Linked DNA regions of Elephas maximus indicus. The protein of the gene in region 1 purifies or fractionates together with the protein of each later gene. This does not show direct contact. Links are inferred from orthologs where the notes say so. Each region holds a gene or a part of one and is shown in the gene's direction. Other genes may lie near its edges. The genes, in order: HDAC6, PKM and DNAJA1.

Region 1 (3,746 bases):
ACCCCTGTCCTCAAACCTAACAGAAAAGGAATACCTCTCTTCAGGCCACAGGGAACCCCTGCCCTCATCCTATAGAAGAATCCCAGCCAGGTAAGGAAAACCAAGGACTGATACTCTAAGCAGGGATTGGCAAACTATAGATTGCAGGCAAGGCCAGCTTGTAGCCTGTTTTTACCCTTTCAAAGGGTTGTTAAAAAAAATAAAAATATGCCATAGAGACCTTATGTGGTCTTCAAAAGCCTAAAATCTGGCCTTTACTAGAGTTTGCCAACCTCTGCTCTATAGGAACCTCTCTCCTGACTACAAAAAATTGGGCCTTGACCCATTCCAGACTCCCTACACTTTTATTTTGCAAGCATAACAACCCCAGAATGTTTCCCAGTGTGTATCATTGTATGTGTATTTTCTTTGAGGTTTAAAGGTCTTAAGTCTATGACTCTCTTCCACTGGTACAAAAGGCATGTTCAGATGGAAAAGAATGAAAGGCATGAAGAGGCTGGAAGTGGGGGGGGGGTCTTCAAGAGGGTCAGAAGGCCCACCTACTGGGCGGTGGGGCTGTCAATCTATTTGTTAGTCAGCGCTGCTGAACCCCAGACCGCTTATCTCTCTGGCCCCAGCCTGCAGCCCGGTAGGAAATGGTGGAGAATGAGAGGGAGATTAGGAGGACAAACCGACCTCCTGCAGAGCTGATATTTAGACAGGGGTGGGAGGGAGAGCGGGCCATAGGAACAACTCCCCCTACTCTCTAGGCACACAGGCTTTGTATTACAGCTTGAGTGCAGTTTACCCGGTGGAGGGAGGCAGATAGGGAGACCAGCCAACCATGAAAAACTCCGACTCCATTCTAGCCTCGGGCAATATTATTATCACAATTTTCCATATGAGGAAACTGAAGCACAGAGATGTTCAGTAACTTGCCCAAGGTCACATGGCCAAGTCATGTAACCTCAGTTTCCTTATCTGCAAAGCAGCATTAATAATGGGAAGTACCTCATAGAGTTGTGGCTAACAATGCCTGGTGTACAGTACTTGCTAGCGTTACAATTGGAAACCCGGTGGTGCAGTGGTTAAACAACTTGGCTGCTAACCAAAAGGTGGGTAGTTTGAATCGAACTCGGAGACCCTATAGGGCAGTTCTATTGTCGTATAGGGTCGCTAAGTCTGAATCGACTAGACAGCAACGCGTTTGGTTTTTTGCTTTTAGCCTTACAATTACTTGTCCCACTACGCCTCCCCCTGCGCCACCACCCATTTTCCCAGAATTTTAATAGCTTTTTTAACATTTGGTGTGTGCTTAATGTGTGCGACCTTAGTGAATATCAACTCATAGAATCCCCACAGTATTTATGATCATCATCATTCGCACTTTGGCCGCTACCAAACCGTCCTTCAGTTTCAACCCCACTCTGGGCCCCACTTCGGGCCCAGCAGCCAGCCCGCCCAAGCTACGTCATCACGGAGCGCCGCGCCGGAAGCAGCGGGAAAGTGGGAAAACGCCGTTGCCTAACTCCCTCCCTTCCCTGCGCTCTCTTGAATCTTTGCAAGGCACAATCGTCGCGGATCCAGAGGGTTCCTGAGGTGACTGGGCAGGGGCAGAGGGTTGGTGGCCAAGGCAGGCAAGCAGTAGCCGGGGGACGGGACAGCCTTAGCCTTGTATTGAACCGCTAGTGCTACTTCACGCAGGCGCAGCATAGACAGTTTCTCCTGCCTCCGCGCCGGTTTTGTGAGCTTGCGGAAGGTGTGGCCAGCGCGATGGGCGTGGTCTTGGGGGGCACTGAGGAAGCTGGTGTGGGCGGGATCTCAGCAGGCAGAGAGAACCGCCCCAATGGAAAGGAGGAGCCTGGGAACCCGCCGTCCCACAAGTCGCCAGAATTTGCTAGCGAGAGCAATGGGCGGGGTTTGAGAGGGGGCCGCGCCCAGTGAGTGGAACCGAAGCGGTTGGTCTGCGTCAATGTGGGGAGCGAGAAGGGGGCGGAAGCTAGCGGGAGGCGGCTCAGGACTGGCTAGAGGGGGTTGGTGTGGCGTTAAGTGTAGGGCCTAGGGCAGGGGATAGGGTCTGGAGGAAGGAAAGTAGTCCTCTCAGGGGCGGGACTTATTGAAACGTTAGGGGCGAGGGTAGGTGAATCGTTAAGCTTGGGATGGGGCAGTGGCTGGGTTTGGCTGAGTGAAAGCGTGGGCGATTTTCCCTGGAGATCGCCGTAAAAGGAAGATTTGTGAAGGGGTGGGGTCTGGGTGAGGCTTGTTGTTAGGTACTGTCGAGCCGATTCCGAATCATAGCGATCCTGTAGGGCAGGATAGAACTGCCCCATAGTGCTTCAAAGGAGCGGCTGGTGGATTGAAACTGCTGACCTTTTGGTTAGCAGCCGAGCTCTTAACCGCTACACCATCAGAGTTCCACAACCAGGACGAGGCTTAGAAGAATGAAAGGGTCTGGGAATGGGGGGCTAGGTAGAGTGGAAGGGCGGGGATTAGCTGGGAAGGGCAGGCCCTAGAAAGGACTGAGTCGGGAATTAATGGCTCAGTGAAAGGGCAAGTATTTGAAAGAGGAAAAGAGAATTGTGTAAAAGGGGTAGAATTTAGTGGAAAGGTGAAAGGGACACCCCAGTGGAGGGAGAGGGTCTTGGGAGAAGTGGAGTTTTAGAAGGCAGTGGGGAATAGGCTAGCATAAGGGATGGAGAATAGTATAGGAGGCGGGCCGGCAAGGGGAAGGATATTGGGTCCTCTGGGCACACCGTCCCTTACAGACAGTCACGTCTACTCCCCCAGGACCGTGTCAGGGGCTCAGTCTCTCCTACCATGACCTCCACCGGCCAAGATTCCACCACAAACAGACAGCGAAGGAGTAGACACAACCCCCACTCACCCTCCCATAACTCCAGCGTCATCTCGGTGAGGCCCCAGACCGGCCCCGGGGAGGGAGAGCCGTGGATTGTCCCCTGGACTCTGACCCTTCTTTCTGCTTGACAGAAGCGTGGTGTTAAAAAGGGTGCTGTACCCCGCTCCAGCCCTAGTCTAGCAGAGGTAAAGAAGAAAGGCAGAATGAAGAAGCTCAGCCAAGCAGCAGAGCAAGACCTAATCATGGGGCTGCAAGAGCTGGTGAGAGGGGCCTGGCCTGGATTTAGCCTCCAATGGCAACCCAAGACCCTGAGGTTTCCCATCCTGGACAGTATGGAATGTTCCCTCTGACTCAGGCTCTAATTGGATCTGTGTCTCCCATTTTTTCCCTGCAGGATCTGAACCTGGAGCCCAAGGCACTGTCTGGCACAGGCTTGGTGTTCGAAGAGCAGCTAAATGAATTCCACTGCCTCTGGGATGACAGGTGAGGCTGAGTCCTCTAAGCAGTCCCCAAAAACACATTAGCAAGAAGGAATTCTTTCTTAGGGCAGCCTGGAAACTGGAAGCAGATGATTTGGGGAGGTGGGGCTTAGAGTTAAAAGGGTTCCTTTTAGCACCTACTGTGTGCCAGGAGGAATCCTTGGGTGATGTAAACAGTTGTGTGCCAGGAGGAATCCTTGGGTGATGTAAACAGTTAAGTTCAGCTGTTAACTACAGGTTGGAGGTTTGAGTCTACCCAGAGGTGCCCTGGAAGAAAGGCCTGGTGATCTACTTCAAAAAATCAGCCATTGAAAACCCTATGAAGCATAGTTCTGCTTTGACACACATGAAATTGCCATGAATTGGAATTGACTCAATGGCAACTGGTAACTGGTAGTAGTATGCTAGGAGTTGGTGATACAAATGTGGAC
Region 2 (3,746 bases), on another chromosome or scaffold:
ATCCATGTGGGGATGGCGCAGGGTCCTGGGCATCTGGGACCCGGCTGGGTCAGGGAGAGGAGAAAGGCTGCTCGCCCCGAGGGCCGGCTCCTCAACGCCCCCAGCTTCCGTTCCTTCCAAATTCGGATGGCAGAGCCAGCCCCTAGCGTCCCCCATGCCGGCCCCATCCTCCGCTCCATCTCCCTTCCTGCTCAATCTGGTTCCATCCTCTCCTCCCGTGCCTTGCTCCCTCCCAGTCTGATCGCATCTTCACTTCCCTCCTCCTCCGCCCCGGTCTGGTCCTATGCTGGCCTCCTTCCCTTTAACACTAGTCCCAATCGCCCCCTCGTTTCCAACTTGTCCTTTTCACCTTCCTTCTGATGCTTTCGTTGTGACTTCTCCTTGAAACTCTGTCTCTGCTTCGCATCCCCGCACCCTCCTCCCTTCCAGTTCCATCTGCTCTCCTCGCGCCCCGTCCCCTGTTCACCTACCACTTCCCCCTTTCGCCCCCGTGCCGCCCCTCCCCCTCCACCCCGGTCACGTCCGCACCCCTGCATCCTTCTCCCGCCCTCTCTGCCGCCCCGGCCCCTCCCCCTGCCTCTGGTCGGATCCGCCCGCCTCTCCTGGGTCCTTCTCGGTCCTGCCCTTTTCTCCATCCCGGCCTCCCAGGCCCACCAGCAGCTTCCGGCCCTGGTGGAGCCCTTGGCCCCGGTCCGTGGCGGGAGGTCGGGCAGTGAGTCACCACCCCAAGTTCGTGGTGTGCGAATAGATAGGGCTGTCATCTATGCGCCCAGGGGGATGCTACAGCGGCCCCGGGCGCAGCTACGGGGTTACATAACCCTTGGCCTTCCCGGCAGCGGGGGAGAAGGGCTGACTTCGCCTGTGGCGAGTTCCTGTTTTGTCGGCTATTCCCGCGCTGGCCGCGGACCATGCGGAGACCCTGCAGGGTGGCAGCGCGACACTACGCCTCTTCGAAGAAGTCACGCGACTCCATCCCTCCGCGGCCAGGCTGCAAGTAGCGGCCCCGCTCCCGGGCCCTACCCCGCTGGACGGCTAGCGTTTCCTGGCGGAGCCTGACCTCCAGCCGGAGAAGCTGCCAGATGGCTTCGGCGTGGTCTCCTTGCGTTGGCGGCACGGGATTTCTTGCCTCTGCTTCACGTTTCTTAACAAATGTGCCCAGGTTGTAGAACGCGGAGGTCCCGGGTGGGTCCGGGAGCAGGTTACGAGGTAGGGGAGGGAAACCTTCCTTAGAGCTTGACGCCCTTCGTGATGGTCGCACAATAAAAACTCTAGTGCCAAGGGCTGCTTTGGGGAGGGGTTTGGTGTGCAAGGAGATGTGCAAGGAGGAGGGAGCTGAGCCCGCTGAGCTGCCGATCTGTTTATAGAATGAAAGTAACTTATGACTGGTAAGTGCTGTGAGGAAGGCACCAGCTTCCTGCTGTGGGCGTGGAGACTGGGGGTGGGCAGGAGGCCTCACAAGGTGGCATTCACACTGGGTTTGAAGGAGCAGGGAAAGCACCTTCTAGTCTGAAGGTTAAAGACTCAGTCGTGGAGCGGCATCTCTTGCCTTCTTATCCATATTGTCCAAACTCAGGAGGTTGATCTCCTTCAGTATGGGTAAAATGAACCTAAGAGTTCAGGTACAGGCATGATGGGCAGATACTTGACTCATTAATATACTGAGATGGCCAAAGGACCAGTTTTCCACGCATAAACTGGAGGTAATATTTTCCTCATGATTGTCGAATGGATTGGTCTCTACACACACCTTCATGTTTATATATTGAATACTTGGTGCAGTGTCTAGGACGTAGTAGGTGCCCCACAAGTTGCATTTGCCAGAATCTAATCTCTGGTGAGATGTCCAGAAGAAATGTCTTCAAATGCTTGTACTCTTTTGGTCACTGAGCACAATTACTACCTAATTGATGCTTGAGCATAAGTGTTGAACTTCTTGATTCACCATATCCCAGTCATCCCCAAACACATACAGTTAGGCTCTAAATACAGTGAAACCTTTGCGAGCCAGAATCGACTTGGCTGCCTTGTTTTCCCGGGTCTCTAAAGTTTTCCACCTTTGAAAGGGTGTTTTTCCATCGCTATTAGTGGAAAATATTTGAGTTTTCCTTCAGTGACAGGTTTCTGCTTTAAGCAGGTTCCAACCTTTGTAGGTTTTACTGCAGCAGACATCACTTGGAAACCAGTCCCCTGAGGGATGCTGGGATAGTGCTTACAAAGTAACTAATAATGTTACTTTGCAAATCTTCACTTGCAACTGGGACTCTTTGGTCTTCTGAGAATGGCAACCTCTAGACAAAGGAAGGCTAGGAGGGGGATGATTTCAGCCTTTGGTGGTTGGCTGTAAGAATAGAAACAAACTTGCAACACCAAGACTGAAATCATTAGATCCCAGCTCTCCTTACCTGCCAGCCCCTGCAGGTAGGGTTCTAGGATTTGCTAGATAGGCTGACAAGTGTGAGGGTAGGAGTGGAGGCTGGGGGCATACATAGCCTGTTGGCCATACTGAGGGTGTGATCAGAGGAGGGCCTAGGTTGGGACCCCCCCACCCCCACCCCTGCTGCACCATTGTTAGCAAATAATTTGCCCTCCGGTTGCCTGAGGATGCTGATGGGTATGCACTGGGGCTGTTCTGAGGAGGAAGGGTATGTAACCCATTACCAGGTCTGTGTGTTGGTGGAGGCACAGTAGGGAAGATGACTCAACCTCTCAACTTCTCAGCTTTCGAGAGAATTCTCCTCATTGGGTGAGTGGGGAAACTGCATTGCGGTCTTTGCAGGTTTAAAAAGTCCCCTTTCAAAGAGTCAGATAATGAAGCATGTGTTTCCCCCGCATAAAATGTCTCACTAAGTGAAAAATGATTGGTCCAGGGCCCTGGGCCCCCTCCGTACTACCCAAAGAGCTTAAGTGCAGAGTGGCAGTCTGCACCTGCATTGCTGAGCATGGCACTCTCTCAGTGGGTTGCCCTCTGAAGGACAAGGAATTTAGTAACAGGAACTTAAAGGAAGAATGTCCTTGAACTCATTTCCAAGTATATGGATGTTAGTTGGTTCCTTTCTAGAACAGTTGCTTTTAGTTTAATCATTTGTTAGAAATGAATGATTTTAGCTGTCCGGTTCCTAGTTTACCAAGGACCATTAATGGGCTTTTAAGAACTGCAACCCCAGTAATTTGGCAGCTGTGACTCGAAACAGCTTAGTACCTTATGGAAGTTGCTTCTGTATTTGAATGTTGTAACACTAACGTGGGGTCACAGGAAAAGCCATTTTATTTCTTAAGGCTGTTTATTTCTTAATGTTGAGGCAATGAAAGGAATGAGGAAGCGGCTTTGAGCAGGAAGGTAGAAAAAAATGCAGCCCTTGTATTACAGACATATTACTTGGGTTTGAATTTATTTTGCTTCAGCTTTTATGAAGGCAAGTCCAGCAGTGTTACCTTGGCCAAGAGCTAAGACTGAGATCAAGGTAGAGGAAAATGATTCCTTTGACATTATCTTTATTTCTGAATCACTCCAAATGTCCACGGTCAAATCCCATTTAATTGGTACACCACAAGCATGTGTCAGCCCTGTGAGCAGAGTTTTATTGCAATCTTGTTGAGGATCTTTGTGAAATGCGTAAGTGATTTATTTGATAAAAGGTCTCATTGAACCTTGAGTTGTCACTTTAATCATCCAGATGGGAACAGAGCTATGTATGAAGACCATTTTTAATGCCACTATACTTTCTGGGAGCTTGAATTTATCACCA
Region 3 (3,746 bases), on another chromosome or scaffold:
CCGGTGCTAGATATTCACCATATGTTTGTTTATGTAACTGAATAACCCAGGCCCCTATTTTCCATTATGCCCTCGTCCCAAAATTTGAAAGCGCATGAGCTCACTTTATAGACTGTAGATCCAGGTTCACATACTAACAGAACCTGAAATTCAGATAAAGTCATTAGAACAACTTTTTACATTTAGCCACTCTCGATGGTACTGCGTCCCCAGCTAGCCAAACCAGGTGAAAGCCTGGCCAGAGAAGGGCTCAAGGCTCTCAGCTTGCGCCAAGACATCCTAAACGTTTCCCTATTTATTTGCACAATCCCCTGAGCTCCATGTGTAGGAAACAGCATGGCCCAAGGCTGGGACCTGGACTTGCACAAAGAGCTCTTTCAACCTCCCATTTGGTGAATTACAAGATCCTGTATGGAAACCCTGGTGGAGTAGTGGTTAAGTGCTACAGCTACTAAGAGGTTAGCAGTTCAAATCTGCCAGGCGCTCCTTGGGAACTGTATCGGTTAGTTCTACTCTGTCCTATAGGGTTGCTATGAGTTGGAATTGACTCAACAGCAGTGGGCTTGGGTTTTTTTTTTTTTGTATTCTGCGTGAAATACAGCAAGACCCAAGGCCTCTGACACTGGTCTGAAGGCCAGGCCCGCCTTGCTCAGCATTTCTTGCTCGGCATGTTCCCATAACCTCAGGGCTGAGGAACTAAACCGCTTGAAGACGCCGAAAGACGCAAATGAGGCGAATGCAGAGAGGAGGGGCTGCAGGGCTTTGTTCTGAAAGGTTTCCGTTCAGCAGACCGCATTCGCCAGGGGCCCTGCTCCAAGCTCTCCCTAACCCTACGAGCGGCGGCGTCCACTTCACCCATTTGAATTCTCCGAGTTGCCTCGGAATTGCAGAGCAAACTGAATAATCCCTGCTTCCGCCCGAGACTTCCGCATCCCGGGCCCGCCGGGTAAAGGAAAGGGGCTCCAGAAGGTTCCATGAGCTTCAAGAACCCAGGCTTACGCCCACCCCCCCACAAGGCCTTTCGGCACAGCGCCTCCCACCCCGAGCGCCCCCGCGCCGTTGCCCAGGTAACTGCGGGGAGGTGGCAGCGGCCAAGAGGGGCGGGACTTCCGGCGAGTGACGCGCCGCGGCTCGGCTACAAAAGACGACGGCTGCGGCGCTCCGAGGGGAACTTTCCAGAACGCTCGGTGAGAGGTGGAGGGGTGGCGACTCCCGAACTGCGTACAGCTACGCGCTCCGTCCCGCTCCCCCACACCAGCCTCGGTCCGCTCAACTGTGAGTTTCAGTCCTCGCGCTTCCCCTTGTCTCCGCCTGGCGCCATTGGTGGCGCCGGGATTCCGGATGGAGTCGCGGGCGGGAGGCGGTTGGCTCCGCGTGGGCGAGAGGGTTGTCGGTACCCATATCCACGATTCTCAGTCTGGAGGGCTGGTGTGTGACTCGGCAATGAATCTCCGGCTCGCAGTGAATGGGCCCGAGACCTTGAACTCTCCCACTCCTCATCCAGTCTGTGGACCCAGAGGAGGCGCCGCCTTCCTGCCCCTCTGTCCGCGCCCCCGACCCCCCCGTACCGTACTTTCTCGGGGTGGGCGGCCTCGCGCGCACGCGCAGAGGGAGGCAGGGAGTCGAGGGGCTGCGGGAGGAGCCTGCGGCTTTCGTTTCTTTCTCCCCACCCTCTCTTTGTTGAGGGCTGGGCTTCGCTCTCCACCCCTTCGATCCGTGGTGGGCGGGAGAAAGGAAGGAAACCTTAACGGTCGGCGCCAAATGCAGGGGAGAACCTGACGAGATGTAAAGTACCCTGCCTTATGGGGAGAGGGGGTTGGACGGTTAAAGCGGAGGAGTGTAAACCCTGTGATTGAGAAACATCTCTAAGGACTTGGGGGAGGGGAGCTGTTTCTCTGGATCTGGTGTTTCTGATTATTTCTGTAAACCAATTCCCCCTATCCCCAATTGTGCCCAAACGTCTTTTTTCTGGGGAGTATATGGCGTTATTAGACTTACCAAAGACGGTAAAACGTGAGAATCCACGGACCGAACCTACTATGCTTCTTTTTATTGTGGCTGGCTGTCACCACCTTTGGGAGGGGGAAACAAGCAACCCAGGTAATAATGTGTTAGTTCGGATACTTTAGTGTGGGAGAGTGGAAGCCAACTGCTACAAGGAGCCCTTGAGTTATTCGTTGGTAATTACTGTTTTATGTTTAGTCTACTAGAATTTGTGGCTGAGTTATCCCAGAAATTGTTACTTTTACGGTGAAGTTTAGATAGTGAGGTGGTATTCCTCTAATCAGATTTGGCGAAGGACTCAACTTTTGTCTTAACTCTGACTTTACTAATTAAAACTACAATTTGAAAGTCGGTTAAAATGGCATTTTCTTATTTCAGGCTGTAGAAAATGGTGAAAGAAACCACTTACTATGATGTTTTGGGGGTCAAGCCCAATGCCACCCAGGAAGAGTTGAAAAAAGCTTATAGGAAACTGGCCTTGAAGTACCACCCTGATAAAAATCCAAATGAAGGCGAGAAGGCAAGTAGTACGTCCTTAAAAGTATCTGAATAGTTCTTTCCCAGGTGTCTAGTTTTTATAGTACCACGTGAAATTGAGTGTATCTGACATAATGGCAAAAGGAGCCCTGGCATGATATGGTTAAGCGCTGTGGTGCTAACCAAAAGGTCAACAGTTCAAACCCAACACCCACCAGAGGCTGCATGGGAGAAGAGATCTGGCAATCTGCTACCATAAAGAAAGATTACAGCTTAGGAAACTATGGAGCAGGTTGCTATGAATTGGAATCAACTTGACAGCATAACAACATAATGGCTGTGCTTTGTAAGTTTTGTTTTAAAAAATGAAATTTATTCTTTTTTTTTTTTCTCAAACAGTTCAAACAAATTTCTCAAGCTTATGAAGTGCTTTCTGATACAAAGAAAAGAGAATTGTATGACAAAGGAGGAGAGCAGGCCATCAAAGAGGGTGGAGCAGGTGGTGGTTTTGGCTCCCCCATGGACATCTTTGATATGTTTTTTGGAGGTGGTGGAAGGATGCAGAGAGAAAGGAGAGGTAAGACAACCTAGTCCACATGCAGCAAATTAAAGTAGCCATTGGTCAAAACAGATTGTTGAGCAACCATAAGTTTTAAATGCATGTTTATGTTGGTATAATGTTGGGTACTTAATTTATGGTGTAGTTTAGATTGAGGTTTGATGTAACAATATGCTAAAAAAAAAAAATTTGCTAAACCAATTAAGCGGTAACAGATTATTCGTAAAGGTCTTGCATGTACTATGATTAATCAAACACTAAAGAAACAAAATAACAGCAACATAATTTTCAAAGTGTTTTTTATAGATACCAGGCTCATAGCGACCCAGTGTTAAATACAGTAAGTAGCCTCTTCAGTCAAAGGTGATCTGAAGTAAATTTTATGAGGGTCATACAGCCAGTCCACTGTAGAGCCAGAATCAGAACACAGGTTCATTGTCTTCACATAGCTTGTTAGCTGTAATCTTGATTCAGCTTTATTTTATCAAAATACATGAATTTTTATTTAGCAGAAACGTAGTCTGCAGGCTGTAGAAATATTGTTCAGTACAGTGTTCTGGTCAAGAGAAGACAGTCTCACCTTATTTCCTGTATGTTTTATACAAACAAGGGCTAATGAGTAGAGGCCAACTTTAGAACAAATGGGCAAGTCGTTAAATTTCACTCTGAGCTTTTTAAGAAGTTGTTTTGTTTTACTTTTTTAAAT

What was found.
Region 2: the proteins of HDAC6 (region 1) and PKM purify together in Homo sapiens (affinity purification with mass spectrometry, with the first as the bait; 4 studies listed by BioGRID). This does not show direct contact. The link is inferred for Elephas maximus indicus from reciprocal best matches to the Homo sapiens genes HDAC6 and PKM.
Region 3: the proteins of HDAC6 (region 1) and DNAJA1 purify together in Homo sapiens (affinity purification with mass spectrometry; 4 studies listed by BioGRID and IntAct, with this or other methods). This does not show direct contact. The link is inferred for Elephas maximus indicus from reciprocal best matches to the Homo sapiens genes HDAC6 and DNAJA1.

What each region holds. Positions count from the first base shown.
Region 1 is NC_064846.1:122,835,607-122,839,352, reverse strand, and holds the start of HDAC6 (histone deacetylase 6), read left to right. Parts: upstream 1-1,468; 5' UTR 1,469-1,578; intron 1,579-1,842; exon of another isoform or gene 1,843-1,937; intron 1,938-2,012; exon of another isoform or gene 2,013-2,115; intron 2,116-2,167; exon of another isoform or gene 2,168-2,232; intron 2,233-2,284; exon of another isoform or gene 2,285-2,428; intron 2,429-2,766; 5' UTR 2,767-2,796; coding exon 2,797-2,889; intron 2,890-2,967; coding exon 2,968-3,096; intron 3,097-3,230; coding exon 3,231-3,319; intron 3,320-3,746.
Region 2 is NC_064831.1:62,521,960-62,525,705, reverse strand, and holds the start of PKM (pyruvate kinase PKM), read left to right. Parts: upstream 1-986; 5' UTR 987-1,079; coding exon 1,080-1,159; intron 1,160-3,746. UniProt on the Homo sapiens protein: Catalyzes the final rate-limiting step of glycolysis by mediating the transfer of a phosphoryl group from phosphoenolpyruvate (PEP) to ADP, generating ATP.
Region 3 is NC_064827.1:42,217,772-42,221,517, forward strand, and holds the start of DNAJA1 (dnaJ homolog subfamily A member 1), read left to right. Parts: upstream 1-1,104; 5' UTR 1,105-1,275; intron 1,276-2,382; 5' UTR 2,383-2,392; coding exon 2,393-2,524; intron 2,525-2,880; coding exon 2,881-3,058; intron 3,059-3,746.